Linked DNA regions of Rhinolophus ferrumequinum. The protein of the gene in region 1 interacts with the protein of each later gene in a pairwise test. Links are inferred from orthologs where the notes say so. Each region holds a gene or a part of one and is shown on either strand. Other genes may lie near its edges.

Region 1 (10,879 bases):
AATCAGGGGGTTGGATTAGAATGCCATCTGGTTCTACAAGAACACAGCAATTCAGAAGCTACTGTAATGAGGCTGTTTCCCCACCCAGACTGCCTCCCCACAGAAGTCCTTCCTTCGGGAATGAAGAGCTGAGGTCCCCAACCACTGGGACTATTAGTAGTCCACGGCTCTTGCCTGCATCCCTCTCTAGGAAGTGCCCTTGACAAAAAGACCCACCCAGCTCAAGGTTATGCCCCCTTCCTGGGAGTCTCTTGCATCCAGTGTCTGCTCCGTTAGGGGACATAAAGTCTGGGCCCTCTTGCGTTCACTCAGGTTATCCCTGCAGGGTCACCCCAACCTTAGGGCTCCCTATGTCTTTGTGTCTTTGTGGCATGTGCATCACAGTTCAACCCCTTCTGCCCAATCCTGTTTTCTCCATTCCTTACATACCTGACATGGAATAGGCACTAAATCTCTGTGACTTCTGTGGAAATAACAGTGCCTCCTGGAGGCAGAAATGCTTTATTTTGAGATTTGGACTGTATTTCTTGTTCTCATAATCAGGAATCGTGGAGCTGATACTACTCCCCAGTAATTATTTTCACGAAGCAAGCTAAAACATTATAAAATTATTTCAGAAGACTAGGACTAGGCAGGAATGTAGAAACACAGTCTACATTTTAGATTAAAGATTAAGATTTTCATTCCTGACTTGAATGGTAAATAGTATACATTTTAAAATGTATATTACAGTCTAATTTTTCAAGAAAAAAAAATGAGTGAACCTTTTCCCCCCAACCTTTGCTTCTCTAGACAATAAAGCCTGGTAACAATAACTAAAAATTAGGTGTATAAAGAAGGGAATAAAATACAGAGAACAAAACATAAATACAATTGTGCTAATAACAAGAGAAGAGATAAAAACAAAATATTTTTAAGGAGCAGATAATTAAATTGGAAGATGAAACACAAATGAAATTACAGCATACAATATTTTAAAATACTGAGACTTAGAAAGAAAATTAAAGCCCATGCGTAACAAATACCATCACTCAAAACTCATAGGTCTCATTAAACTAAGCAAAGTTTGTATATTCTTTTCTGAATTTGGATGGGATTCTTTTCTTTTAAAGTTGTTTTGAAGAACTTCGGTAATGTTTTTTTTCTTTCCTCAGTTTCCTTTGTCTGTATACTTTATTGTTTTTTCCTCTAATGATAAAGGTTTCTACATATCCGGTACATTTAAGGCACGCCAACACACTCCTCTCTTACTGGGTAACTCTCCTGTTCACTTTGTAGCTTCCTTTGGTCTCTTCCTTGCATATGCCAATTTCTCCTGCATTATTCAAATCATCAGAGAAATTTGAAATTGAAATTGACCTTGAAAAGGTAACTGGTAGACACATATTCTCCAACAAATTCAACTACCTCCTCTGTAATTCAAAAATGAACTGTTTACCAAATAAATTAGATGTTTCAGAACTACTTGGGGCTTGAGAACAAGAGAAATCCTGGATCCTGGTAAAGCTGCAACAGCTGATTTAGCACGCATGGAATCATTCTGCATCTGATCCCTGCCAGGATAACACAGGGTCTTATTCACTGTCTCTTGCCTTGGTCCTTCTGAGTAGGTACTGTTTTCTGTTTACTTATCCCCTAGCTTTAGGCCCTGGAACAAAGTTGAACATAGTGTCACTCGCCCTGGTGCCAGACGGGATCAGAGGCTCTGAAATATTTACAGTTTCCCTTCTTCTGCTTCCATAAATGAAACAGGCAGTCTGAATGGGGGAAATCAAGGGCCAGCTGGCTAAAACCACAACTGGCAACAAAGCACTTGGGCTCCTTCCAAGAGCTGGTGTTTAGAGAGAGGCCATTTAAAGAGCAAATTCCAACGACCGTGATAATGCGGCAGGACACCTGCTATAGCATGAAACAATAAAACTGTACTCAGAAAGAGTTTTGTTTCCCAAGTTTAGAATCTCTGAGATGCCCCCTCTTCTTTAGGAAATTTCTAGTCTTAGAGTCAATCCCTTAAAAGAGCCAATCCTTTACACGCTAACAAATGACATATATCATATACTTTGAGAATGTTAAATAAAGTCTGTGCCATGATGGATAAAGTGTTATTTTTACTTAAGCTCATTCTCACAAAATAAATAAAACTGTTAAGAAATTGAGAACAACAAAGAAACAAGAAATGACATAAGAATTGAGATGGGACAGCCATGGCAGAGAGCCAAAAACACTTAAACTAATTTGGGAGGTTATTAATATATCATGAGACCAACTGACAAAGAAAGGGAGATTTCCTTTGTTAAATAAAATACTATTCTAATTTTGCGTTTAAGAAACAATAGAATAACCTTCTTGGGGGTGAGGGATAACCATGTTGAAGCACTGTAAATCTAGTCTTATAGATAAATGATACAGGTTTTTTCCTTGCTGAGTTCTAATAATGATAACCATGAACTGGCCATTTAGTAACTGGCCATTTATTACAATCTCTGCTAGGTACCAAATCAAAACTATATATGACACTATACTAAGAGAGATAAACTTGAAATCTAAACAATTCTATACATTATGAGATAATTATTTCACAGTCTGGGAAATGTGTTTCAAGGTGACTGAACAAAGATGCCCAGATAGATAGATAGATAGATAGATAGATAGATAGATAGATAGATAGATAGATAGATAGATAGATAGATAGACAGATAGATGCATGAATAACTGGCAAGAAAAATGAAGGAGGGACTCAGAGAACAAGTGAAGGGGCTCAGCAGCCAGCTAGGTGCATGGAGCAGAAGTTCTGAGGCTGTAAGTCCCAGAGGTGTGTAAAGCCAGTAGCTTGAGACTTCCTGGAAGGCATTACCTCGATGTAGGGCACGATCTTGCAGGAGAAGTCCTCCAGCAGCCACTTCTTGGTCAGCTCGTGAAAGATGACGAGTGGGAGGCAGAAGAAGATGATGAGGAAGTCCCAGAAGGCCAGGTTGGCCAACAGGGAGTTGGAGATGCTCCGCATGTAGTAGTTGTGGCACACGATGCACATCACCGCCAGGTTGCCAATGATGCCGGTCCCAAAGATCACCACCGACAAACACATGACCGCGTAGGCTCCGTAGGACTCCTGGGTCAGCGGGTAGAAGGGGTTCTTCAGTCGCAAGCGCCGGTTTGTGCTGTTTCCCCGGCGGGGACCCCCGCGTTCGGGGATCCCTTCACCCGAGGACCCATTCTGGGCCAGTGCCCTGCCGGGGGGTGCAATCATCCGCCTTTCGTGCCCAGACGGTCCATTGACCGTCTTGGGTGGGAGGTCGTGGTGGGAAGCCTGGAGTTTCCCGGCTCTCCTTGGCCAGTAATAAAGGTCGCTGGCTCCGGGTTCTGTCCTCACGCTGGGCTCCTGACTGCGCCCGGAAATGCCACTGCCTCTTGGACCCTTCTCCTCCTCCTCCTCTTCTTTGGTCTGAAGGATGAGTTGAAGAGCCGTGGGGTTCCCTCTCCCCAAAGTTCCAAGGGGTTCCTGACCCCGGGTACCTTTCCACCTCCAGGCGCCTGGAGGCCTGGCTGGGGGACCCGAGGGCTCGGCTGGTGACGCCCCCGCCCCTCTGCTCGCACCTGGGTCAGCTCCGCGGGGGGCCGGTAGGTCCCACGAGGGCGCCACGCGCACTGCTGCCTCCTGCTCGTCTTTCCTGGGCGCACGGGTTAGTAGAAGGTATCCTGCAGAATTCCCTGGTCCCCAAGTGTCCCTGCTGCGACGCTGGTTCAATGTAGGTGAACAGCTATCCCCCAGACAAGTTTCGTTCCTGGGCGCAGGGGCGGACCCGAGGGCAGGAGAGGCAGAAACCTTGAGCAGGAACAGAAGCAGCAGCCGCGAGGTTCGGGCAAGAGGCGCGCCTGGGGTCCGCATGGCTCGGTGAGGGCGCCCGGCAGCCGCGGCTCCTGCTTAAGATCAACACCTGCTGCCAAAGTTGCTGCTGAGAGTTAGACACATGTCACATAGTCACCCCCGCCCCGGCAGCTGCGGACGGGAGATTACGGGGAGGTTGGGGGATGGGTCTTGGGGTCACAACCCTCCTGCTCTACAATCCTTCCTCGTTCGGTGCCCTGTGCATTTCTCAGCCAAATCCAACCTGAGCGCTGCGTATCCCCAAGGTTCAGAAAGGGACTCGCTGCTCCCGGTGGCTGACCTTGAAAAGTTGCAACCAACACCTGACTGATGATTAATGTTGCGACCAAGCCCCGCGCTCCTCCCTGCCCTGGGGTGATGGCCTTCTTGGTAACGGTTGCTCAGCCTGTTTACATCCTTTCGATACTGCTTTCTCCAGCAGAGAGCCGAGGTCGCTAAGGCAAAGAAAAATAAGTTCCCCTCCTTCAGAGGACTAGTAGCTGCAAGCCCGCTCCCCGCTCGCTGAAAACAGGTTGCAAACAGCCAGACGCAGCGCAGATGCGCCCAGGAAACTCTTGCTCCCCTAACCCCAGCGGCTAACGAGGCAACTGCTGCCCAGGAGAAGCGGGGTTCGAAACCCGCGGCCACTGCCAAAGTTGCTTCTCCTCCTGTTCAAAGTTGACCAGGAGCAGCGCGGGCTGCAGGGCTGCGCGTCCCTGCCAAGAAAGGAATCGGTGGTGGGGGTGGGGAGGGCGGGCGGTGCTCCTCAGTGGACAGTGCCGGCGGCCGCAGGAGCTTGTTGTTGCGACAGCGGGCGCTGCCCGGGCGGAGAGTGTGGTGCCTGGAACCGCCGCGGGCGAGGCGGTGCATGGCCGGGGAGGGGGTGGTGGCCTGGCCTCTCCCCGCCACTCCAGCTGCTGTGCGCTCCGGCGACACCAAGCACTCGGCTCCTTGCCTCCTCCCCCTCCTCTGCCTCCTCCGAGAGATGCTGGTTTGTGGGGAGACGGGATCCCCTGGTGGTTTACGACTCACTAATCCCACACACGTTTCATTCAAGCCCTTTGTAGCGGCTTTCCGTCCTAGGAGCTGGAATCCGGGAAGGAACCAGGGTGGAGGTGCGGAGCCTGCGCGGCTCGAGGCTAGGGATGGGCGGGACACGTTAATTCCCCAGATGTCGGAACCAGCCCGACCGGTCCCGGAGCCCGGAGAAGGAGGAGAGACCAGCGATCGCTTCCAATCCGCTGTGGCCGGTGCGCATGCCCAGGCCTCCGGCCCCAGGGAGTAGTAAGGTGAGGCGTTCACCTCCTTAGGTATTCCCAGGAGCTGAGACCAAAGCGAAAGGCAGCTCAGAGGTTTCAGAGAGAATGAGCAGTTCCGAGAGCGGGATGCAAAAGAGAGAATGCTCAGTATACACCATTACCTTTAACGCGGAGTTAGGAAGCGCCCTACCAGGCAGGCGTTCCTTACCGTGTTTCCCGGAAAAAAAGACCTAGCCAGACAATCAGCGATAATGCGTCTGTTGGAACAAAAATTAATATAAGGCCCGGTCTTATTTTACTATAAGACCGGGCCTTCGGGCCTTATATAAAACCGGGTATGGTATAATATAATATAATATAATATAATACAATACAATACAATATAAATACCGGGTCTTATATTAATTTTTGCTTCAAAAGACGCATTAGAGCTGATTGTCCAGGTAGGTCTTATTTTCCAGGAAACACGGTATACCACCATCTATCTGTGCAACTCTTAGCACACAAAGCAGTATAACAAATCCTATGTATTATAAAAGTATAAAATATATGGATGGGAAAATATACTTCATCAACTTCAGAATATTAGTCCCCCTGGGAGACAGAGAGATGGAAATGGAATGGGAGAAAGCTGTGAATGTAATATTTTATTTCTTAAAATGAAAATTCAGGAGGGTATAACCTGGGTTAATTGTGGAACAACAACAAAATGTTGCTAAAATAAAACTGAGGATATTGACTTCCTTGTCACCTCCTTAGTTTCAAGTTTGGGTTATTCATGTAAGCTATTCTCATATCCTTGTTACTCTAGGTCACATTAACATGTCACTAATGTCCATCTCTACCCAGAAAGGATGCCAAGCTCAACAGGGGAAATACCCTTGCCCCCTTCCCGGTGACACCACTGTAACTGACAGGTGCTCGGCCTGAGCTAGGCATCATTCTCAGAGTGGTCAGCTGCAGCACTGAGTCTCCAGTTTGGAGGGTGGCTTAGGAAAGTCCTGGAGGAGGGCTGCCTGTGCTTGTCTGAGAGGTTACCTCCTTATTTACAAGCAGTTCCCTCCTTAGCCTGAACAAAGATGCGTTCCTACTTGGATGGCTGCCATGCTCTGGCTCCTTAAACAAAGATGGATTGTGACCATGAAGAAAAATCAACAGAGTTCCAGCCATCCTGTTGGAGCCTGGGATGATGGTAATTATCTACTTTTTTGGGAAACACAATTTTCTTTATCTGTAAAACAAGGATACTGATATATGCTCTGAAATCCGCCCACTCAAGTTGTTACGATGATCAAGCAGATATGAAAATACTTCATAAATGCACAATATTTGTTGTTGCTTTTAGTAGTTCAACTATTTCTTGCTCTTAGCAAAATTTAAATGCCATCAACAACATACAAGTCTTGAAGGAGATCATGCTTGATAAAAAAGTCTAATGAATTTACTTTCGAAGAAAATTTAGAAAGCATTCACTGCAAAAAGAAAAACAAATGTCTTTCAAATCTTTCCCAAAGCTTATCTCATCTATAAATATAATTTTAAAGTGGGAATTATCCTAGCGTATCTATTTTTGTAATTTCTACTTTAGAAAAATAGATCAGAATATATGTTGGCTAATCACTGTTTGGTTTACATCAAAGGTCATTTATCTGTACAAGAACTGATTTGAACATGGATTTTTCTGTGTCACCCTTCCACAGGGTTTATAACATATAATATTGATTTTTTATATACAAAAGAAAACATGCAAATTATTACCTGTCTTGGCATTTCTAAATAATCTGTTAACTTCATTTAGTGTTTCGTGGGCTGAAATAAGACATATAACAAAGTAAGAGAAATTAGTATTTCAAGTTTTAAGATACATCTTTGAACAGAAGTTTTACTCAGCACCCAACTCACGGCTCAAATAATTTTTCTTTCCTTTTGGCTCCAGAGAATTCAAAAGGACCATTTCCCGAAAAGAAAATTTAACATGCAACCAATAGATTATTTTCTGAGCCTGAAAATGTCTTTCTTTTAAAAAAAAGTTTGTGGTTGCAAACTTCTTCTGTCCCTAAATTGCTAATTGTTAGTTTAGAAGCTTCTACTGACAACCTCTGCCTCATAGATAGAATTAGTGGGAAAAATGGGTCTGTTTGGGATAAAACAACAATATGATATGTGTCTATCTTAAAAATCAAATATCAATATTAAAGTATTCAGAATTTAATATGAAACAACAATCACTAAAATAGTCCTTTATGATAGAAAAAAGGAATGTGTCTGTTGGGCTACATAACATTTGTTTTGACCACTGCACTTTACTGCACAGCCAAGTCTTTTTTCTTTTTTTAAATTGGAAAGGAAGTTGAATGCAAAAAGGGGTAAAATTAAAGATGAATTAACACATGTATAACCATGTATAACGCATGTATAACCAAGCTGGTTCACAGACTGTTTTTTTGGGACTGGCTTCATGAACTCAATACCCTTCCCCGAGCATCCATTGTTAGAGTAGGGAAGGCTTTCATTTAGACTCCCAGATAACCAAGAAGCCAATGACCTCCTCTTGTATTAGGGAGAGGACATACATATGATAATATGACCGAGACCCCTTCCAGTGCTCTACCTTCTTAGGGAGGTGACCCTGATAATTGCATGGTGTCCACAAGAGTGGCTTATAGGCAGTGTAGAGTCAGGTAGGTGTCAGGATTCCAAGATGCTTTTCAGCTCACCGAAGTAAAGACCATAAATTTTTCTATGACAAAACTTCTATTAATGTATCCACTGGACTTCATAAAAGAATTTTATTGATAAAATAAGAGACTTTGGCTGCTAAAAAGAAATTAAAGAACAATAATTCAGTACAACCCTTCATTTTAGAAGGAAACTGCGAAGTAAGGAAACTGGGTGAGTTGTCTCCTCTGTATCATGCAGTGCAGTAGATACTGACCTTGAACTAAAACCCATGTTCTTTGAGAGTAAAGAAGAAGGGTGATCAGTCAGTGGGTCAGAAAGACCTCCTGAAAGAGATGGATGGTAGAAGTTAGTTACTGAAGTAGGAGGAAGAAAAATTCAAGTTACAAGCAGAGGGACTGACTCCAGCAAAGACAGGGAGAAGAGAAAAAGGAAGTGTGTGGAACCAGGAGCAATTCAATGGTGCTAGGAATAATGCACGAGCATTTAAAAAAAAAAAGCTTAATGTTAATTTTATTCAACAATTCTTATCGCTTACCTCCTCTGTGCCAGAAACTGTGCTGTGTGCAAGACATAGAGTGGTGAACAGACCAGCTATGGTCCATCTCCTCAAGGAGCTTACACTGTAAGAGAGAATTCAATCAAGTGAATAGGCATTGAGGGAGAATCGACCATGACCAAGTTAGCTCTAGAATAGAGAAGGTGGGTGGCTTATGAAGAAATACAGAGCTATTTTATGCAGACTGCTCAAGTAGGGTTAAAGTAGATGCTCTTGAAGAAGATAGTTTTACATTGAGCCCTGCAAGTCGATGAGGGCAGCGTGGGGCCAGGGAGAGCTGGACATGAAGAAGAAATTAGGACAGAGCTGAAATTCAACAGGTTGGACTTGCCATGGTGGGGGCCGTCCAGTGTGGCTGGGAACTGAGTTGAAAGTGGAAGTGGGAGAGCAGGTTAGAGAGGCAATAAAGGGACACATGACCCCCTTATGAGGCAGCGAATTTTCGAGAACATCCCCCTGTAGGAGGCCTTACGGAATGCCTGAGGGAGAGATGGGAGTGAATGTAGGTCCAGGAAACTAATCGGAACCAGGATCCATCCTTTGTCTCTGCTTCTTCCTGCCAGTCTCGCTTCTTTCCTTTCTTCCAGGATCCCAGCTTCTTTTGCACTTCAAATATATGATAGAATACACCTGCCAACACGTTCTGCATTTACACATTAAAAACTCAGTCATTAGAGAGAGAAAGATGCTGACTTTCCCCTTTTTAATTCCAGTATCCTGGGAAGGGACTCAGCTTGGCTGGAGGACCATACCTGAATCTCAGATGTGGCCAGAGGGCATGCACACATTGAAATAGCAGACAGCTCCACGGACACCTCAAAGCTATGTTATGCAGAGAAGTGAGTTCACCGAATTGTGGGGACGTTTCCCAGTCTGAGAAGGGATTTTGAACTGGAAAAGTCGTGGGTCTTCAGTGAGTAACAAGGTTGTTTCAATGATTGAAAAGGAAACATACGTGAAACCAGGGTGCATCTGACATCCAGTGGGGATTCAGTAACTGTTATTTAACTCATTTGTTTTAGTTGTTTGAATATCAACAGAGAGATTGACGTTTTTACAAGGATCCCTTGCTTTGCCTTACATCCAGCCACACATACTTTGTTGGGAAGTATGCCCACATAGTTTATTGTCCTAGTCCTGGCTATGTCAAATCGACCAAAGCTTGGCCAATTAGTCCCACGCCTGGAACTTTTCTAACTGGGAAAGAAACAAGAAGATAGGACATGGGAGCCGGTGGCCCCCATATTTCCAAAGAGGATGAAGGCACATAGAAAAGCAACCTGTAGCTAGGAAGACAAATGAAGGAGACGGAAAGAGAAACCCAGCAGAACTACAGACTATGGTTCTGTTCCTGAAATCCAGCTGCTCCTCAGTCATTGGAGTCCATGAGACATTCCAGTGGGTTTCTACTACGTTAGGTTGAATGGTGGCTCATTGACTTGCAATTGAATTTGTCATTGCTAATATTCATTCTCTATCCTCACTTTATTACAGTTTTTGCTATACAAACTGCCGACCTTTAAGAAAAAAACTTGTAAATATCATCATTGCAATGACTTATAATGTACATTTTAAACTTAGTAGAATAACCATAGGTAGAACTTTACACAACAGCAGAATATTGCACAAAATTGTTAAACCATGGAAGTTTTCATACCTAGAGAGATTTCCTCTGTAGCTCGATAAAGGAAGGGAATAAAGAAGGGAAAGTCATATCCCTTTCACACCTCTACCCACTGAATTATCAGAGATCAGCTTGAAACACAGCACTTCTGTGGAGATGTATGGGAAGTTGACTGATTTGCCCCCTTTTTCTCTGGGTGCCCTTAAGGACACACAAAATAGGGGTGTGGGGGTCATTGTAACTAGGTCTTTAGCTTAGGAGAGCAGGTTTATCTGACTCTAGCACAGAATACGGGATGTAGGTGGAAAAAACATTTCTCCTCTCCAAGCTCAAGGTGAAGAGAAATGAAACAAGGACAATATGTAAGAGACGTGGAGATCATATTAAAGAAAGAAAAATGATTGGAGGCAGTCAGTCAATCAAACAAGCTTCCATCGTACACCATCTTTATGTGGCTCTGTGCTGCGTGCCTGACAAAGGGAGCTGAGCCCACGTAGTTCTTAATTTTCAGTTGTTTATAATTTAAGGCTGGACTTCAAAATTCTATACAGGACTTTGGAGGCAATAACACAGGGCATTTTTATCTAACAAGTTCTGAAATCCTTTTAACTTCAAGTGCCATTTTGAAAAAGCAACACAGTTTTTTTTTGTTGTTTTCTTGAGAACATTTTGTTGCTGGTCTGTAATCACTTATAAAAATGCTAGTTTTTAAACTATTAATGGGAAATTTAATATTTAAAAGTGCAACAGAGGAAAGTAATAGAAAGAAAACATACCCTCAGACCATTACAGCGTACTGTTCACCTTGATCATAACAATGAGACTTTTATCAGGTACGTATATATGACAATATTGAGAAGAGATCTGGGTTCTAATAATCCTGACTCTTTCAT
Region 2 (10,054 bases), on another chromosome or scaffold:
TTCACCCCGGTTGGATTAATTTATTTATTCATTTGAAGGAACGCCCATCGAGAAACAAATGTAATGCCCTGCAATCGAAGCTGTGCTAGAACATCCAGAAAGATGATAGTGATGGTGGTGGTGATGATGATGATAAGAATGATAAACATGGTTCTTGGAAACACTGCGCTAAGTGCCTTAAATGCACTATTTCATTTAACCATCAGAAGCATCCCCAGACGGTACCACTATTCAGGGAACAGTTCCACGGTAATGACAGCCACCGACAGACACATCACCCCAAATCTACTTATCTCCTGGTCACTGTGGTATTTTAACTTCTTTTTTGATGTCCAACCAAAACCTCAAGTTCGATATGACCATATCTGAATTCATCACCCCTTCCTGTCTCCTACAGACACTCAGGCCACCGCTGTCTTCTTTCCTATTTGGCCATGGTCCCACTCCTTTGACTTATCCCCCAACCCCCAGCCAATCCAAGCTATGCTGAGTTTTTCCACTGTCATGTCTCTTGATTCTCTCCCTTCCTTTCTAAACCCAGTTTTTCACACATTCTCTCTACTCCCTCAACAATCGTCCAAGGAATTTTAGCTTCATTTTTCATAGGAACACTCTGAAGCCCAAAGGGTTTAAGCGTATTGCCTGAAGCACTCAGCTGGTTAAGGACAGGACCAGGATTGGAACCCAGACCCATCCAGCTCCAAAGCCCATGCTTTTTCTATCACAGCAATGTGTCTCATTAACACAAGGCTGGGATTGAGATATCTTTAGATATAATAGAAATTCTTTTAAATCCTTCAGTAACACTACATTAAAAATAACAGTGTACTAATTAGGAGTTGTCCCTTTTACAATTTCCTTTCAGTCTTTTAAAATAGATGGAGAAGTCCCAGTTAGTGCTAGAATACCATTACTATCTCCCCAGGACTCACTAATCTTCCTTTTCAATAAAAAGAGAGAGGGACTCAGGTTCAGAACTTTGGCAGGCAACAAAATCTAGCTAGAATTTATTAACATTGTTCCGTGCTCATGGTTACCTGCTATTTATGGCAGATGACACTAGTCTCCCACATGTGGTAATGGAAGGAAAACAAAATTTTCTTTAAAAATAAATGTATTTGAGTTTTAGAAGTAAATCAACATCAAGAAAAATATTTAGTAAATGACAGTACACCTGCTACTCAGAATAGCAGGAATCACGATGGTGAAATAGGGAGAAACAATAACTGAGTTGTTTTGTAGGATATTGACAGTTTTTGCTTGCCAACTCCTCAGTAGCTCTTCAGAGCAGGAACTCATCTCCTCAATGGCCCTCAGCATGCTTCCTTCCCATCATAGGCTAGTGCTGTTTAGAATAGGAAGTCTCTTAGATGTTACTGAGCCCAAACTCCTACTCCCATTTCATGGATGAAGATTGAAGCTCAAAGAAAGAAGGTGACTTCTTTAAGGTTATATTCTGGGGGTGCCAAAAACAAGAATACAAGTGGACACTTTGGTCAATGTTGCTCAAGCAGTAGTTTGCTGAATCAGAATTATCTGGACGCTGACGGTAACCACTTTGAGCACCTCTTATAATTGCAGAAGTCAAACGGGACTTGTATTCATTCTTTGTTATTGGTATCTACTGAGTATTACAATTTTAATACAATTTTCCTCTCTTGAAATGTGTATACATTTTTTGGCATCCTCTGTATAACAGTATAGTTGTTCTGGGACCAGAACCTAGTTCTACCAACCTCCATCCATGCTCTCTCCTCTGCGCCAAAGTGCTTCCATCACAAAGAGACATTCATCAATATACACGCTTTATTGTGTATGTTTTATGTGTCCCAAATCTGAAGGAGACTCCATCCAAGCAATCCCACTCAGATTCAGCAAGAGAATTAAGCCCTATGCCCTAAAGCATCCACTACATTGTATGTAATCACTTCATCTCTATGAAGTTATAGGGTAATAGCTATGTACCATCCTCGGGAGAACTGGGAAGAATAGTCACTCAAACAATTATTCTGTGTGGTTTAATTCCCTTGTAAAACTCTAACTGAGAAAAGCTACTAGAGTTTAGTCCTTTTGAATAATTGAATCTCCTCAGACAAGAGTCTTTCATATGACCAACTGAAGTCTCTCCTGCGTTAATTTAATGTCATCTCCCTTTGTTCAGTCCCCCTGAGACGCGGAAAAATTTATTAGCATGTCTCTCATAAAACGCTAGCATAGCAGGAAATTAAATTCATCTGGTATAATCAGCTGTTCTGAAAGCTTTGCTGGTTGCTCTGCTTACTCCATGGTTGCCAAGGCAACTGCAAATTGATTTGTTTGATAACTCGTTCTAGGATCATTCCAGGTATTGATGTTAAGGTTGGACATCGACAAACCCATGGATGGCGAAGGAGACTCCAGACCCAAGGCAACAAGGAATATTTAACCTGAGGAGGAGAGCTCAGAAGAATCTCAGGAACTCGCCCCAAAGTTAAAGAGAGAGGAGACTTGTTTGAAATGGCCTCAAGGGGGCAGACTTAAGATCCACGGGTAGACGCTATGAGAAGATAAAGTTCAGTTCAATATCTGAAGAGTTGGAAAAATATACCCTGACAAAAGAGCTGGTGAGCTTGCTTTCACTAGAGGTGGCTCTCTAAGAGTTTTGGCGGGTGCTATTGTATAAGGAGCTGACTAGACGTGAGATGCTTCATTCAAATACCACTAACATCCCATCGAGCTCTATAAGTCAATGTTAATGCCGATTTTCATTATTGTTCTTCTTCCTAAGGAACCAAGCTTTGTGCCCTTTTTCATTCTTTTTCGGAGCAATTCAAATTTAAAATAAATTACTCATTACCTATGTTCAAAGGGTCCTTTTACAATATGATCTGAAAAGACAAATATGTACTTGATATATACATTTTGATTCAAAAGAAGATAATGATGGTAACAGTTATCCCTCTTCTAAGGCAGCATGCTAAATGCTTTACATGCATTTAATCTCATTTAATATAAACTTAACATGATGATACCGTACAGAGATAAATATTAAAGACCGATATTTAAGACCATCATTTAGAAAGAAATCTACAAATGTTTCTCTGCACAGAGGATCATGAAGATGGAATGAATGTTGTCTAAACCAAGACCAGGGTAAGATTTTCTAAGCCGTCCTGCTATTGGTGTGAGGGCATTCCCTGGTACCACAGAGCCTCACTCCTGTTCAAACATTCATTTGGTAAATCAAAGTGTGTGTGTGTGTGTGTGTGTGTGTGTGTGTGTGTGTGTGTGTGTGTGTTTTCCTGTTTGGCAGGCAGGAAATGACAAATCAATGTCTTAAGGGATTGACAAAATATGTAATTAGACACTATCAATCACCATTTTAAAAAGCCTGCTTTTTCTTCCATCAGATAAAGGTATATTTAGTCTACTAAGAACTTTCCAGTTTAACTGAAGCATTAACTCTCTAAGGCCACAAGCCCAATAAACAGTGCCAGCCAAACTCCTCTGCTGAGAAATCAAAGTAGAGCACTGAGCAGTGAAAACATGTGACGGCAGGAGCAGACCTGACTCCTGGGCTTCCCTGCCACCTTCCCCTGGACACTTCTTATTTCTACATTTCAGTTTCCTCATTTGCAAACTGGAGCGGGGGGAATAAACTAGATGATCTATTGAAACTCTCTCCCATTCTAACTCTCTCTAATCCTATAATTCTAAGAGGAGGTCTGAAGAAGACTCTTGGCATGAAGATAACATGTTGAAATTCCTACCAGCTTGGTAACACAGGACAGGGAGAAAGAGGGACAGAGACAGAGAAATTGTCCATTTTGCAAGGCTGGTGGGCAAAGGTCTGGACCATCCTTGTTGACATAAGCCGTCTTCCCCTCTTGATTTAGTGTTCCTGGGTTTTTAAAAAGGTGTTTCCCAAAATATTCCATGTTAAATTTTTAAGTGACTTATGTGTATGTCTAAATGATCAATTAGTGTTTGTCATAAAAGGACTTTCTTTGTTCTTTTTTTGTTATGGGAAGGTTAAACAATATGCTTATTTATTCCATAGCTTCACAAACAGGAAGGAGGTTTTAAATGACTTAATTCTACAATTCAGGGTAGATGTATATTTAAAGAAACGTTGTTGCATAACAGACACTGCCGCTTCCTAAAATGCATCATACCAGAGCCAATTTTGGAACACACAAATATGAGGTGGGTATATTTTGAAAACTATGTGAACATAATAGATCCTTAATATTTGTGGGTTTTATGGGAAGTATTTGTTTTTTAAGGCATCTGTCTTTGCAAGCCATTTCTGCAAGTGAAGGAAGTTAAAGGGGGCATATAGGTTAACTTTTGCTTCTGAGCTTTGCTTTTGGAGTAAAAGTCCAAGTTACTTTTGTCCTAAAGTATTTTATTGTTCTATTAGAGCAGACTAACAACATATTCTAAACTACTGAGTAATTTATATAAATTTCATTTATAACCCACACTTGACATTTATATGTGCAAAAACACTTTCACATTTATTATTATATCGTTTGATTCTCACTCAGCTCAAGGGAAGTGACTTTATTACCCATTTAGAGATGGAGGAAATTAGGCTCCATCTTTTTGATTTGCCTAAGGAAAGAGAGCTGTAAAGTTCTAAGGCAGGAGGATCTGAAGCTAGGGTATTCCAATTCCAGTTGTAGTCCTTTTTCCCTATACTCCATCCTTTTCTGCGAATGATGACACAGTACATTGAAAGGATTAAAAAATGGGTTTTTGACTCAGGCAGACCTGGATTCACCTCCTGCTTCTGACACTGCCTCACCCTGTGCCCTTGGGCAAGCTAAATTCCTCTTTGAGCCTCATTTGTGAATTAAGCTAAAAATAGTACCCCCCCCCACCATGGGACTGTGGGAAGGATTAAATGAAATAATGCATGAAAAGCACATGGCAGAATGTTCCATAAACGTTAGCCATTGTTATGTTATTATGTAATCTACAAAGTATGTTGGTTACCCTGCATGAAATACTTTCAGTTTTTCAAAGACACTACTCATACATGTGAAATCAAACCCTGGAAGTTAATTTCTTTTTAACAGTAAAGTCACATGCCAGATACAAAGGATAGTATTTCATAGACAAAAACCCTAGTTTGAAGGCCTGGTTTGACATTTTTTTTTTTTTTTTAAGGAACAATTATCTTTTGCTTTCCGTGGCTTCAAAAGTCCTTCATGTTAACATTCCTAATAAACTGTCATATGAAATTGCCATTTTTTAAAGTCAAGAGTCACAGAATAGCAGCAATTTCAAGTGGCTCAATCCAACAGATCTACAAACTTCCTAGAAGAGGAAAGAAATAATTTTTCCAGTTGTAATGGGATTACTGAAGGCCTTGGGGTAAAAAGAAAATTAATTCCATTTTCAACACATTTTCATTTCAACTAATAATAAGGGAGTGATGCCACACTCCCCAAAATTAAAAATTAAAGCATACAACTTTCTCTTTCTATCCAAAACACATACAAGACAGCCCAGCTCCAAATGAAACCCAAAGAGTGAAATTGTGTCTTGATGCCTGTACATTTCCAAGGAGAGCACCAAAAGTACTTTGACAGCGAGCGTGCTGAGGAAATCGGCAGCTGTTGAAGTCACCTCCTGTGGTCTTGCCAAATGTTTGAAAGGGAATATGCTTGTGTTCGCGCGCGCGCGCTCGCGGGGGCGGGGGGTGAGTGTCGTGGAGGTCGGGGTGCATGGGTGTAGGGTTTGGGTACCTGGATGGGGCGCTCTGCTTGCCTCCAAGTGAGCGTTTGTGTGTTGTTTACTTCTTTCTCTGCGTGTGCCCATACCTTTGTGCTCTGGGTGCTTCTGTTTGTTTCTGGCCCTATCTCTGTGTTGTTCAGGGACTGCGCCTGTAGGTTTTGGTGCGCGCGCGCGTGTGATTGTGGGTGCGCTGGACGGGTGTGTCTCAGTGTCGGTATAAGCCTGAGCTTGTCTGTTGGGGTGCATGTGTGCCTGTCCATGCGTGTCTCCGTGGGCACTCGTCTCTGTTTCCGATTATGGGGAAGTGCCCATGTACTGCTCTCCGTCCTGAGACCTCAGGCCACACAGGCGCCCAAGGCGGACAGGTAGCAGCCACAGAAGAGCCCAAAGTTCCTGGCTTGGCTGGTAAGCACGCCAGCCCCAGCTCCAGCCCTCCTGGCCCAGCCAGATGAGCGGGAGGGGAGGTGGCCCGCCCCGGGAGCAGAGGGCTCCGCCCGGGCCAGCCCCAGGAGGGGCGGGAGAAGGGAGGAGAGGGGCGGGAAGGGGAGGGAGCCTCGCCCCTTTGGGGCTGCCCGTGTGTCATTGGCGGAAAGTTCCCGCACGTCACCGGGAAGGCAGTTCCTCTAAAGTCCTGTGCACATAACGGGCAGCGCGCACTCTGAGGCGGCTTCTCCAGATAGCAGGCTGGCATTGACGGGCACCTGAAGCCCAGAGCACCCCACAAGCTGAGTGCAGGACGCGCCCCTACCACACCCACTCCCAGGCCGCTGGATGAGGCTTCCAGGCGTCCCCTCGCTGCCCGCAGCGCCCTGCCGAAGGTCCGCCCTCTGAGGCGCGGCCAGTGAGCCAACAGCCAGTGCGCTCACCTGCCAGCCTGCGCGCCATGGGACAACCCGGGAACCGCACCGTCTTCTTGCTGGCACCCAACGGAAGCCATGCGCCGGACCAAGACGGCACGCAGGAGCGGAATGATGCATGGGTGGTGGGCATGGGCATGGTCATGTCCCTCATCGTCTTGGCCATCGTGTTTGGAAACGTGCTGGTCATTACAGCCATTGCCAAGTTCGAGCGTCTGCAGACGGTCACCAACTACTTCATCACCTCGCTGGCCTGTGCGGACCTGGTCATGGGCCTGGCGGTGGTGCCTTTTGGGGCCAGCCATATCCTCATGAAAATGTGGACTTTTGGCAATTTCTGGTGTGAGTTTTGGACTTCCATTGACGTGTTGTGCGTCACGGCCAGCATTGAGACCCTGTGCGTGATTGCAGTGGATCGCTACTTTGCCATCACGACACCCTTCAAATACCAGAGCTTGCTGACCAAGAACAAGGCCCGGGTGGTCATTTTGATGGTGTGGGTTGTGTCAGGTCTTACCTCCTTCTTACCCATCCAGATGCACTGGTACCGGGCCACGCACCAAGAAGCCATGGAGTGCTATGCCAAGGAGACCTGCTGTGACTTCTTCACGAACCAAGCTTATGCCATTGCCTCTTCCATCGTGTCCTTCTACCTGCCCTTGGTTGTCATGGTCTTTGTCTACTCCAGGGTCTTCCGGGTGGCCAAAAGACAACTCCAGAAGATCGACAAATCTGAGGGCCGCTTCCATGCCCAAAACCTCAGCCAAGTGGAGCAGGATGGGAGGAGCGGGCACGTACCTCGCAGGTCCTCCAAGTTCTACTTGAAGGAACACAAAGCCCTGAAGACTTTGGGCATCATTATGGGCACTTTCACGCTGTGCTGGCTGCCCTTCTTTATCGTCAACATCGTGCATGTGATCCAGGATAACCTCATCCCCAAGGAAGTTTACATCCTCCTAAACTGGGTGGGCTATGTCAACTCGGCTTTCAATCCCCTCATCTACTGCCGGAGCCCGGATTTCAGGATTGCCTTCCAGGAGCTTCTGTGCCTGCGCAGGTCTTCTTTGAAGGCCTATGGGAATGGCTGCTCCAACAGCCAGGACAGATCTGACTACACAGGGGAGCCGAGTGGATATCACCTGGGACAGGAGAAAGACCGCAAACTGCTGTGTGAGGATGCCCCAGGCAAGGCAGACTTTGTGAACCGTCCAGGTACTGTGCCTAATGATAGCATTGATTCCCAAGGGAGGAACTGTAGTACAAATGACTCACTGCTCTAATGCAGTTTTTCTACTTTTTAAGGACCCCCCCCCAAAACACTACACAGACTATTTAATTATTGGAGTGTAATGCATTTAGAATAAAGTTGTATAGAGATGTGCAGGAGGAGGACATCCTTCTGCCTTTTTTTGTTTTTTTTTGTTTTGTTTTGTTTTGTTTTGTTTTTTCTAAGCTGTAAAAAAGAGAAAACGTATTTGAGTGATTGTTTCTTGTATAGTTTGGTTCCTCTTTGCATGGAACTTGCAAGTTGATGTCTGAAGGGCTTCGGTCCCAGAGGACCTGGGGCTGCTGTGTTTTGATGACTTTTCTGTGTATCTACCTCATTGGTCAAGTATTAGGGGTAATATATTGCTGCTGGTAATTTGTATCTGAAGGACAGCTTCCTTCCTGCACCCTTGGACTGGAGGACCCTGAGTCTCTCGTGGACCTTGCAGCTGTGAACATGGACTCTCCCCGCTCCTCTTATTTGCTGAAACAGGGTGTTGTAGGCAGGGATTTCAGGGGTAGCTTCAGTTGTTTTCCTGAGCAAAGTCTAAAGTTTACAGTAAATAAATTGTTTGACCATGACTTCATTGCACCTGTTTCTCCAAAATCCCTTGACTGGAGTGTGGTTGCTTCCCCCCCTGGAGACGGCAGGTAACTATTTGTAATAACTGCGCAGTGACCTAATGTGGAATGGCACAGGAATGACATGCTCTGATTGCTTAACCCTTTCATTTGCCTTTGAATCTGCAGCTACCCACCTGTATCTCTCCTAACGCTAGGGCCCCTAAGTCAGTTCTGCCGGCTCCCAGCCTAGCTCATCTCGCTGGTCCTATGGTGATTATTCTGTGTTGTTACATCAGAAACACTGACTCATAGAAATGGAGTTACAAGCATCTGTTGTGTCCCTCCATGCACCCCTACCACCCACCTTCCAATTCTGCTTGCTTATTAGCTGCTTATACTTATGTCTCTGCCATGTCTTCTAGTGGAGATCTTTGTGCTGCATCAGGGCTTGGCATCTGAGGGCTAAGGAAGGCGTCCGGGTGAAAAAGCTACTACACATCACCCTGTAATTCCAAGGGAAACTGAAAGGGCATTGGTCAGAGGGAGAAAAGCTGGAAAACACTTATCTGATGAACACCTCAGACCTAGACACAGGGTTTTAGCTCTCTTCCTCTTTCTTTACTTCTGTCCCCCCCCCCACCCCGCCTTTGACTCCCATCACTTCAGTATACACCAAGATTTCTCAACCTCAGCATTATTATTTGGACCAGATAATTCTCTGTGGGGGGGGGCTGCTCTGTGCATTGTCAGATGTTCAACAGCATCCCTGGATTCTACCTATGAGATGCCGGTAGCACCCCCTGAGTTGTGACAACCAAAAATGTCTCCAGACATTGCCAAATACCCCTTGAGGGGTGAAATCGCCCCTGATTGAGAACCACAGGTACAATTTAAAAATCTAAGCAGGTTTTTAGATTCTGTGTAAGGTAAGCACTTTATTTTGCCATCTCAGACAGGGATTTTTCATGGTTCACTCAGTCGGTTAGTGACAGAGCCGGGACCCGTGTTCTTTCCACTCCATCCTGCTACCTTCTGACCTTAACCTTCCAGCTGCCAGATACTGACCGGGAGATGTGAATCGTTTGGGAGGGTTTATCAATGGAGGCCAGGCCTGGGCGCCATTACTGCCTGTTTGTGGAGAGACGATATTGCTGGTAAGAAGCCCATGAGGGAAAATCACAAAAGTAAACACATTTCTTCTCCCACCCCCTTTCTATTTTTGCCTGTGCGCCTGAGCCAGAGCTTGGCCCAGGTCTGACCGAGTGGATCGTCCTCCTTGGCAACGCCAGCCTGGAGATCAGCCTGCAGGCTTCATTGCCATTACTCGCTCATGAAGCTGACTCCACTTTTCTCTTCCCTTCTGTCCCAGCCAAGGTCCCCAACCAGAAAAGCACTGGCCTCTTCTGCTTCCTGTCAGCTCAGTGATGGGTGGCTGGGTGACCCCTGAGCTCTCAGGAGAAAGTGAGGTGTCCATGATTTTGGAATGTGCCGTGGTGAAGAGTGTCTGCCATTCAGTACTTTCACTTTTTCTCCAAGGGCTCTCATATCTGTTATCATGTTCTCCTTCTCCTGCTCTGGGCCCCACACCCAAAGATATAGGCAGCTTCTCCAGCTCATCTCCAGACTCTTTGTAGCCTCATGGG
Region 3 (11,379 bases), on another chromosome or scaffold:
ATAAGTGTTTCTGCTGTAAGAGGACCAGCATGCCTGAAAAACCACCTGTTCTGCAAAAGTACTCACTAGAAGCAACAAGGTGTGCGGGAAAGACAAGTTTAAGAAGCCCATCAAAACCTACGCAACTTTGTAACCAGAGCACTTGATAATCATTCTAATAAAAATTTATTAGTGGAGTTAAAATAGTAAATGCCTAACCTTTGGAAACGAAATCCTGGAGTAAGCACAGTGCTGCAGGTACACCACTTTCAAGAAAAGGATGAGAGGAGGGGTGGGAAGGAGGTACAAAGATGGGGCTGGCCTCACATTAAGCGCTTCGCAGAGCAGGTGCACAAACACACCAGGAGGAGCGGGTCCTGTCTGCATACTTGGCATAACTGTGCTGTCGGGACGCGCTCAGCTGTGTGCGAACACTTGTCATCCAGCGCTTACTTGGTGGCACAAATTATTAACAACATGGGGAAAACTGCACGGAAACCTACTTAGACTAACATCAGTCCCCTATTTATGAATGAAATCTGAGTGAAAAGGCATTACAGAAACATGCACTGCAACAATAGCCCAGGTGGAAAGGCAACACGAAGGACGAATACTGAATTTTAATTATACACATACACACACACACTCACCGCCACAAAATGTATAGATGCATTTCGATATACTTGGGAATGATACACGTGAACTTTAGGATCTTGGGTGGAAGGATTGAGGTATGGAGAAAGAAGGAGGCCATAGCTCGTTTAGGAAGGATTTATTTTATCCATAAAACCAGGAGCTTATTTTAAAAATATGTATTATTATAAGGAAATATTATTCATTAAAGTTAGATAAATACATGACTATTTTATTATTTTCTATACTTATTTGTATATTTGCATTTTTCAACATGTAGAAAAACAAGATTAAAATAAAAAATGAGATTTAATGAGAACATTATGAGATTTAAAAGAGCTAATGAGGTAGCTGGATATAAAATAAACATAAATGAACTTATAGGGAAAATATTAATCTAAACATAACATGATAAGTATATTACTACAAGTGAACACACTGTTAAAACGTGAGAATTTTTTTCTAAGTGATTTATATGATCATTGCAATTACAAAGGAATATTTCAGTTTTGCATATTATTAAAAGGTCATTTGGAAGATTAAACTGGCAAAAAGTTAAAATTTAAAATCAACATTCTGTATATGAATTGACAGGAGAGATTATACTCACCAGTTTCTAAACATATTACCAAGTTATAATAATTAAAATTGTGTTATACAGGTTAAAAATTCCTCTCAACTATTTCTGAGTATTACGTATAATGATACAAAAGGGCAACAAATCAGTGGGGAATAGAACATTGCTCTATATATATCTCCGGAAAAATTGAATAGCTATTTGGAAAATAGTTTTTTGAGATCTTCGGATAATACTCTATCCCAAGTGTTCTGAATCTCTAGGAAACACTAATTAGTTCAACTTTAAAACAATAAGAACAATTAAATCAGAATCTTGAAAGGTGAAACCCAGGAATCAGTATTTTTTAAGCTCTCCAGGTGATTTCAATTTGCAACCTGAGAACCACAGCTTTGGATGTTTGCAATCTACTTCTAATATGTGTCATGAATGTGTTTCAGAGGTGCTGAGATATTGATTCCCTCAATGTGCAGCAGGTGGGCGGGTGGATGGCAGGCAGGGCCTGCGGTGCTCAGAAGCCCCAGGCCTAGTACCTCAGGCCGCAGGAGAGAAAAGAATGGCTGTCAAGCACTGCAGGTGTCCGTATAAATGAAACCCTCATTCCAGTCAGAATCTTAAGATCTCTGACCCGGTAATTCTACTTCAGAAATTGTAATTCAAGGAGATACGTCAAAATACAGAAGAACAAATGTATATAAAAATATTCATTTCAACATTATGTATAATAGCAAAAAACTGAAAGCATCCTGGGTGAATGACTAAGTAAATTATGGTCTATTCAGAGGACAGAATTTTATGACGTCTTTTAAATGCTTATGAGGAGTTTGCAATGACATGTAAAATATTAGCATGTTAGAAAGAATCCATAAAATTTCATGTAAAGTATAATTATGCATAACGCACAAACTGAATATGCAAGCTGTATAAACGTGTACCTAAGTACATAGTACTCTTCATAAAGTACTTATATACTTTGCTTATATATTCTATAAAAACATATACAATTTAAGGACTATGAGACATTTTAAAGAACATTAGATACGTATATAATGGAATTTACAACATAATTTGGGGCAAAGAGAGCAGAAAATGAAGAAAGAAAACCGAAGTTGCCGGAGGCCTGGTCTGTGTTGTCTCTGAGCTTTTACCACCGCCCCTACCTCTTCCTCTCGGTCTCCCTCGTCTCTTATACAATAGTATTTCGGCAAACACAATTCTCTCGGGGAAGCTTTCCCAGCCCGAGCCTCGTTCAGGTCGTTGGCCTCTGCTCTCATTGTGCCACACACTCCCTCTGACACCGTATGAGACGGCAGCCACCTTGCTCCTGTCCTACAATGAGCTGAGAGCCCCACAGATAAAACACACACAGTCTACACTCCTTCACACAGGCATTGTGAATTCTATTCCTGGATCAAATCGGACCGCCATGAGCTACATACGTGTACCACATCCACTTAGCCTCATGTAAAATCCATGATAGTTGGTTGAGGCAGCCAGACGTTAGGTGGATGGCGTCGAGTGACCAGTTTGGATGATATGTAAAAACGTAGACAAAAGGTGGTGAGGGCTCCAGTCAGGCTATTGTCACTTGGTCCCTTCATCGTCAGTACTTCCACTGTCTTGTGTATTAATAGATGTGTATTTATTTGTACTGTAATTATTTGACTTGTCTTATCTCTATCTTCACTAGCAATATTTAGCACTAGTGGAGGACACTTCTAACTATCCCCCAATTTCCCTTCTTCCCTTTATTACAGTAATGAAATGCCTCAGGTTTTAGCTGGACACAGAGCTAACAGTCAGAGACTACATTTCCCAGCCTCTCCGCAACTGGAGGTGGCCATAAGACGAAGTTTTGGCAATGAATGTGAGCGGCAGTGACGAGTACCTTCTGGGACCTCCCTTCAAAGGAAGCTGCTTGGCCTCCATGACTTCCTGCCTCTTCTTGCAGGTTGCTCCTTACCTATTTTTTCCTTTTTTCCTGCATGAAGTAGGTGTTGGAGATTGTGCCCTTTTGGAACTACATAATTTCTTAGGCCTTTTCCTGATAGAGCATGTATAGAGGTCTGGAGTTGCTGCAAGCATCAATATCTCCTAGGCTTTTGCAAAAAGGGGAAAATATGGGCCTATGAATAAATTCTGTCCAGTGGGATGTAAATGAAAGTGGGGTGCAGTGTCTGGGTAATGCCCATAAAAGAAGTTCTCTGCTTTCTCTTTCCTAATTCCTGACAGTAGGGATTTGCCCCAGTGGTGGAAGCCCACTGGGATCCAGGGCACCATCCTATAGGATATGAAGCAAGAACATACATGCGTCCTATGTCCCTGGACCTACCTCATGGGGAAGCAGGGCCAAACCTCCCTAGATTGTGTACAGATTGGGACTTTTATGTGGGCAAAGCAACTTCCATCTTAGTTATTGTTATTTGGTATCTGTTATAGTATCTTAATATGTAATTTATAAATATTGACCATTACCACTGTGTGTTGAATGACTATATGATTGTAAGTATAAAAGTTTCAATATAAGAAAACTAATAATTATTATTTTTCCCATTCAGCTGAGCTTTGAGCACAAAACATCTATGGTCTATTGAAAAAGAAAAGAGTAATATAAAGATTAAATTGAAGTCAGCTTCTGTATCATAACCTTGGGTCCATATCCTAACTTGTTTATTCATAAAGTAGATTAATTAGCCTAGCACGCATTTGCTGTCTGTGGAGACGAGGCCAGTACAACATTGAGCTACCGGTCTCTAGATATGGGCTGTAGCACACCACAAACAAGGCCTTTCAAGGGAGAATGAATGGTGAAATCATCAAATTCTGTATCTCATATCACTCTTTTCAGGCAAACATTATAACAATATGAATTTGGATGTTATTCTCTGACTGCAGAACTTTTGTCCTTGCTTGTTTTCATATAGAATGCAACAACAATTTCAAGGAAGTAAAGGAACTACTTGAAGAGCAACAGTTGACATTGGGATTTAAAACACTAGCCATTTACATTTATTATTATTTTAGAAATAATTTTGCATTGCCGTACATAAATTATGCCTCTAAAGAAGGATTTCTGCTTGCACAGCTCATATGATTGAATCTGTTTATGATCAAGTTTGTGTACTTATATTACTAGAGCTCTAGCAAAGAAACAACAGGAGTCTCCACATAACACCTTAAGGTATAGTTCTCTATGTCTTTTGTGGAAGAGCACTGGAATGCTGACTTATTTAACAGGCAAGTGTTTGGAAGAGGAAACTGAAGGCAAGACCCAACACTAGAAAAACGGTTTGGGAGTTGGCTTTTGGAACAAGGGGTTGTAATTAAGAAAAGGGAGAAATCAGCATATTGTTTTCTGAATCAAAATAAACCTCAAAAACGACAGGCATTTTGACTTATAATGCCAAAAGGTCTAAACTGCTGCAGACAGAAGCGGTGAAATATAAATACTGGACAGGAAAAGAAAAGGGTTTTATTTCCTATACCATTGAAGTTAGTTTGTATAAAAGGTATTGTCTATCTTTCTTTTATCAAGATTTTCTTGTTGTTGGTAGTTTTTCCTGGGAGTAGTAAGGACAGGGGCTTTGTTTTGCTGATGCCAAATCCCCAGAACTGTGTTTAACTAGTTCTTAGCTTAAAAAGAAAAATGAGTTGTTGATTGAATGAATGAATGGATGAATAATGTTTGCATCTAAAAATTATTATTTCCACTAAATGAAGTGAAAGAATTATCCATCCTATTTTGAAGATTTCAACAGAGAATATTACACTACATAGATATTACACTATGAAATTTTCCCTAAAAAATATGAAAACAAGATAATTTATCTCAAGTAAGTTGTTTATAAAGAAGGCTGCTTCATGTTAAGCAGATTTTTTTTAATCTTGTAAGCATAGTTATTACATTTGGCAATACTGAAATATTTGATTTTCCAGAACTATGACTTTAGTGTAAAGCTATGTTTAAAAACATGATTATGAACAGAGGTTTATAAAAAGAAAGAATCTAACTAATATTTTTTACGTCTGTGAAAAACATATAACATTGAAAAGTCACTAAGATTTTAATCATAAATATTATGCAGAAGAAAACAAATAATTAGCTTGAACGGTTATGGTATTCTGTATTGCTGATAGTCATCTTTGAAATACATGCAAAATGACTGCAGGTACAACAAGCAGGAACTTTAGTCTATTTCCGATAATTTTAACTACTGTGAAGCAACTCACACACATTCCATAACCAGAACATCACTTTGTGTAGCAACCTGGAAATCTGGCCTAGGGGTCCTGAGGTAATCTGTTCCATTCATGTATTCTAAAGATGTGGTTTAGGAATAAGATATTAGGTTTGCAACATTTATGTAAAACAAATAATGTGACACTGGAAAGCAATAGTATTCATTTAACATAATGAGTTGCTATGCAATATGTTAGAGCCTCCCAGAGTGTAGATTATACAAATTTGAAAGCTGCATTTATTATTTATATCTCTTTCCCAGATAGGTGCTTACTCAGTAGTAAAACCAGGTTTAGCATACCAAATTTAAAGCTGTTCAGCAGATCCAAGGACTTTTTTTTTAACCTACCACACATGTAGCTAAACCATTTGTGTACATTTTAAACCTTTTTTTCCTTAGTAGTACTGAGAATATTTTAACTACCACAAATAATAGAAATGAAATATGCATTGTATTAATAGCCAGAGATACTGAACTAAAGCTTGCATTTAAAAAAAAAATATTATTTAAAAGGTCTGTCTGGAAAAACACTTCATATTAAGTTGCCTTGCAGTATTCCAACAGGCTGACACCATTTTGTCAGAAAGAATTGTCTTAGGGTAAATGTTAGGATATCCTGATATCTCCTCAGTTGAATTGATGAGGTTTTTTACTATAGATTATCTAACGAGTTTATGTTCCCAGCTGTACGTAAGCACATGTCAAATTTTGCGAAAGAGTTTAAGATTGCTAATGACTCACCTTCCATCAGGCCCTTTGCTGAGTAGGGCTAGTTTAGGAATCAGTAAGTAAAGTAAAGGGGGTCTTTTTGCATCATAAATAGCTTAAGAGTAATTTGGGGTGGTCTAGAAACCATGAGTTATTAGGAAAGTGCTTATAACGGGCATATCACTTGCTCCGAACCCTTTCTAACAACCTAGCCTGGACCTCCACACAATGTTGGGCACTGTCTGCCACGGGCCAAGTAATGGCGCTTTTTGGCAAAGCCCACCCAGGGCACGGGCTCAGAATCCATGCTAGGGCCGGCCAACCTCTATAACCTGGTGTCACCTGATTCGGAGCGAGGGCATTCAATTCAGGAAGATCACTTACGACCGAGTTTTTCATCATGGCTTTGACTGTGAAGCCCTCAGAAAGCAGGGAGTGAGGCTGGTGCACCGGGAGCGACTGTTGTGCCAGCAGCTTGGTCCTCTTCGGCATCTTGTCTGGGCATTTGTTTAAGCTCAGGGTCTCTTTTTCTGCCACCATCTTCCTAGAAAATGTCTGGTTCTCATAAAAACGTGTGGTAAAAGAATCAGTGGGTTTTACGGATGTGAGAAGGAGGTCGGGAAAAAATTGTAAAAAATTACGTTAATGGTAAAAATTCAACCCCTCGTAGTGCCCAGGTTGATCCAGGTGTTTGGCAGCTCCTAGGTGAAGGGAGTTGAAGGGAGGGGAGGGGCGGGAAGAGGGCTGGACCTTGGCTGGGGCTACAACCAGCTTCCAAAGCTAAATTTCCTGGTTACTAAGCGACGCGTCAACACTGAGGCCGAATGGCCGCACCCCGCCGTGACGAAAGTTTTCTGGGCCTTAAACCGGAAGAGCGGCGGGCGGCTGGCCGCCGGCGGCGAGCCGAGAGAGGAAAAGCTGTGTTAAAACTACAACTCCCAGAAGGCTCGGGGCTGCGCGCCGTCTGCGCGTGCGTTCCAGCTGCCAGACTCGGGGAGGGGAGTCCTGGATATTTTAACCTCCGAGAGAGAGCCGCGGGTGGGAGGCGCGCGCGGGCGACAGTATGCGCGTAGGCCCTTTCCAGCCCAGCAGTCTCCATCTGCCCAGTGACCATGATCGGTACGTGGTGCATGTCAGGTACAGCCTCTCTGCGCCGCCATGCGCCCAGCTGTGGTGCCACTCCAGGCCTCGGACAACGGGGATCCCTGGGTGCCCACCGGTGCCAACTGTCAGTGGCAGGGTGGCAGTGTCTGTGCTGTTCTCAGCCAGCGCCGCCAGCTTCCCAATGCCCGCCGTCGTCCAGCAGAATAAGTGTGTCTGTCGTTCTAAGCCCCGACTCCGCCCCTGGTTTGACAGGCTTCCTAGTGAAGACAACTTTGTGAGGGAACCTGGTGTGCGCCTGCGCGCCTCCCTAAGTGAAGGCAGGGTCGCGCGATCCCACAGCGAGCGCACTGCCCCCCAGACCCGTGGGGGTCCGTGGGAAGGCCCCGGGGAAGTACTTCCCCCCCCGTCGCTTTCCGTCCCTCGGGGCACCTTGGCGGCTGTCTTCCAGTTTAGGACAGACAGACGTTGTAGTCTGTACCCACTGTCTGTGGGACTCTAAGGGAAACCCTAGCGGAGCGTTAGACTCCAATGGAAAGCACCTGGTGATGATGGTTGGGCTCATCAGAGATGCCTTCAGAAGGATTTAAACTTCTGTTCCCTCGAATTTTTTCTTTTAAATCTCTCATCGGAGGTCTGAGATGAAAGAATAATTAAGAGTAAATAATAACAACAAGTAAACCTTTTTGCATGATGAATTAACGATTCATTATGCAAAATTATTTTTTTCTCGAACACAAAATGACCTAGGTGAAAGCTTTGGAAGTGGCTATTGGAATTGTTTATAAACACTACAATGTACAACATTAGCAAAATTCCTCTATTTCAGGATTGCTAAGCCAATGCTATTTTAAGGGTTATCTCTGAAAATTAGTGGGAATGTTTAGTGTGGTTAGAAAAGTTGCTTCTCAGTGCCCACCATGGTTTATTATTTCCAATAAATTTGGAAATTTATTGTGACAGAGACTTGCTCTAGAATATGTATCGGTTTGATGAGCTTATTTGGAGATCATGCCTGATGCGTACCATTTAACACTTTTGACTACAACAAGTGCTTTCGAAGTCAGATGTCGTCTATCCAGAAAGATGAGAGGTGGATTTTTTTAAATGTGTGATTTCTATGCACTGATAAGCGCTTCTTAAGTCTTTTATTTATTAAATTAGTGTTAACATGTAAAACATTTTACCTACTACTGGGTGAATCACACCAGTTAACGACACTGCCTTTGCAGCGATGATAGAAACCAAAGGATGTTGTCAGGTTTTCTTAATTTTCTAGCGTGGCATGATTTTTTCAAAGTTGCCAAGTTAAGAAAAATGTATACATTTTAATGAATCTTTTGAGTCTTTTTAGGTGACAGTTACACAAGATCCACTTGTAAGCACAAATTTGAATCAAAACCAAGTAGAGGAAATTTTTCAAAATCCTTGCTGTCAGTATTCTACAGAAAAAAAAGTATACCTTATTTTGAAGACAGTTGTGCAAATGTTATTTTAATTCAACTTAACTAGTGCGTGGAAAATTTTAAAAGAAATAAATTTATGGTAAAGCTATATAAAGACAGGGACCTAAGATCTAAAAATCATCACTAAATTCTAAATTGTTATCTAATAAATGGCTCTATAACTATTCGGATGAAATATGCTTAGGTAGTTTTGTTTAGTTTTTACTCGGGATTTCAGAACACAAGTGGGAAGAGTGATCTTTGGATGTGATGATTAGACAGCTCTCAATAACTGGCATTGACATGAAGACTATAAGGTGGATTTTTAAGAATGTTCTTTCTCATACTCCAGCTGTTCTTCATCACGCGGTGCAAGTAAGTGTGTTTTACAGCATAAATAATTAAACCCATGCCCCAGCCTACAAAAAGTACCTTACCCATAACAATCATGAGTACAGTGTGCAATGAATTATTTTATATAACTTGTTGTATTGCCTAAATCTGTCGGTGGGCACATTTTAATAAAAATCTTAATTGTCCGTTTTGGGCCTGGTTATGTTGAATAGTGGTAAAGGTAAGTGAAAATGGAAGCAATTGAAGGGAAGTCTTACAGTGATGGGTTTTCTGTTTCCATGACTAAACTTCGGAGCCCGGAAAGGCATTACAGCTTATACCCAGTGATCAGCTGGAGATCAAATTATATGTAACTATATATTGAGAATTGTTTTTTTTTCCTATTTAAAGACCTGTGCTACTCAGAACTTGCCCCTTTCATGCCTGTGCTCTTTTTAATTGCTATACCTTCTTTAATGCAGATAGTACTCTTCCACTTTATTTAAATCTTGGGTCACTTTTGAGGAAATGAGTTACTTGGTAAAATAGGAGTAAGGTATTGCCTCTTTACCAATAAAATTACCTTCCTTTTCCTTTTTAAAACCCAGATTTCCTTCTTGGCACTGCGACTGTTTCAAAAGCACTTACATTTCTCACTTGGATAATGATTGATATGTTAAATGCCCTGACCCAGACAGCTACAGAAACATAATTTAATTGAAGTCAGTGAAAAATTATGACTTTGTGAGAAGTATGGAGAAGGATTTCAAGATAATATAAAGCAGAATGGAAAAACCTTAAGAAAATTCAACTTAGGAAATATAACTTTTGGCATCTCTGTTAAAAATATATTTCAACCTTTTTAAAAATTAGCAATTTTTGTGTTTAAAAATTAAATTTTAATGGTGATATTTGTGGTATATTCTAAATCTCCTATAGAACTGGACTGGTATTTGAGTAGTATCAGATATTGAAGTGCATCGATATATGTGCAACATTGTTGCTAGTATTGAATTCAACCTCTTACTCTTTAAGAAGATTTTTGATTCATTAAAACAAATAATAATTAGAACATAGTCTCTTCTGTACCTTGTTTAACTTAACATCTCTTAGAAACTTACATATCTGCGTATGCAAGTTTACCCCATGGTAATTCCTGCCCAGTCTTTTATTTTATGGATGTACATAAAGCATGCAAATACTCTCTAATAAATGAGCATTCAGTCAATTTATAGACAATTGCTACCATCAGGAATATTTGTGTTCGCATTTTATTTGCTTTAGTATGTATTTATGTAAAGTAAGAACTTTATATTACAATTTCTGGGTGGGTTTTGTAGACAGAGGGTTTGTAGATTTTGGATTTTGCAAGGTATTTCCAAATTGTTCTAAAGTAAGTCGCCCTGTTTTACACTCCTGTCTGTCACAACAGGGTAGCTAAGAGCTGCCTTGCCCCTCTGGCTGAAAAATTACAGAAAGATATTCTCCCCAGAGCACCTCATGGATTTCCACTCTCTTCCTAGTCCCTCTCCCCACAGGTTTAGTGCCTTTGAGCAATGCACAAGTTACACAACTGTCCTGGATGGTTCTGACCTTCCTGACAGTGTGTACAAGAGAGCCCATTTCCCCAGTGTCCTATAAAAATATTTTTATTTTTGCCTTCATAGATGAAAAACAGTCTATTTTAACTCTTAGAATGAATTTAAGAAGAAAAAGAAAACCCTCTCATTTCTTATTTTGTGATGCTTTATTTTCAAGAAAGCAGATCCATTAATTGAGCACCTATTATGTTTCCAGTACTGCTCCAGGTGTCAGGGATTCATGAGTGAAGAAAACAGGAACCAATGCCCTGCCAACATGAATGTGCAGCCTAACTTTACTATTTGCCTACAAACCTACATATTTGTTTTAAAGCTTGTTGAGGTGAATTTTAAAGTCTCAGAATTTATATTTCTGGTTGAATATACTGTGTACTGCTACTTGTCCTGACATTTCAATAATTTTAGATGAAGAATGACCCATTCTTCATTATAAACTCCCAGAGGAGGCTCTAAAGCTTTTGTTTATGATGATGTAGAATTATGTCACAAAAGAAGTTCTACTAAATATTTGCATAGAATATTTTGCATAATTATATACAGTCCTTTGGGTCCAGAGGCTCTCAAATGATGACCTATGCCTTTTTCAATTTTGGAACTATATCTAAGGATTTTTTTGAAGTCTGCAGTTTTTTTTTTTTTGAAAGCTCAAAAGCTTCATTGCTTGAAATGTGACAATGAAAGTACTTTGTATTAAGATAACGCAAATCCATTTCTACCTCCAAAGCTTCTCTGAAAAATGCAAAAAAAAAAAAAAACAACCC

The links.
Region 2: the proteins of GPR37 (region 1) and ADRB2 interact in a protein complementation assay, tested with the Homo sapiens proteins (2 studies listed by BioGRID and IntAct, with this or other methods). The link is inferred for Rhinolophus ferrumequinum from reciprocal best matches to the Homo sapiens genes GPR37 and ADRB2.
Region 3: the proteins of GPR37 (region 1) and PRKN interact in a two-hybrid assay, tested with the Homo sapiens proteins (2 studies listed by BioGRID). The link is inferred for Rhinolophus ferrumequinum from reciprocal best matches to the Homo sapiens genes GPR37 and PRKN.

Annotation. Positions count from the first base shown.
Region 1 is NC_046309.1:20,181,819-20,192,697, reverse strand, and holds the start of GPR37 (prosaposin receptor GPR37), read right to left. Parts: upstream 4,556-10,879; 5' UTR 3,887-4,555; coding exon 2,855-3,886; intron 1-2,854.
Region 2 is NC_046307.1:21,400,056-21,410,109, forward strand, and holds ADRB2 (beta-2 adrenergic receptor), read left to right. Parts: upstream 1-6,354; 5' UTR 6,355-6,607; coding exon 6,608-7,861; 3' UTR 7,862-7,996; downstream 7,997-10,054. UniProt on the Homo sapiens protein: Beta-adrenergic receptors mediate the catecholamine-induced activation of adenylate cyclase through the action of G proteins. The beta-2-adrenergic receptor binds epinephrine with an approximately 30-fold greater affinity than it does norepinephrine.
Region 3 is NC_046286.1:103,100,840-103,112,218, reverse strand, and holds the start of PRKN (E3 ubiquitin-protein ligase parkin), read left to right. Parts: upstream 1-7,104; 5' UTR 7,105-7,250; coding exon 7,251-7,257; intron 7,258-11,379. Other genes in the region: PACRG (parkin coregulated gene protein), read right to left, coding at 6,523-6,678. UniProt on the Homo sapiens protein: Functions within a multiprotein E3 ubiquitin ligase complex, catalyzing the covalent attachment of ubiquitin moieties onto substrate proteins. Substrates include SYT11 and VDAC1.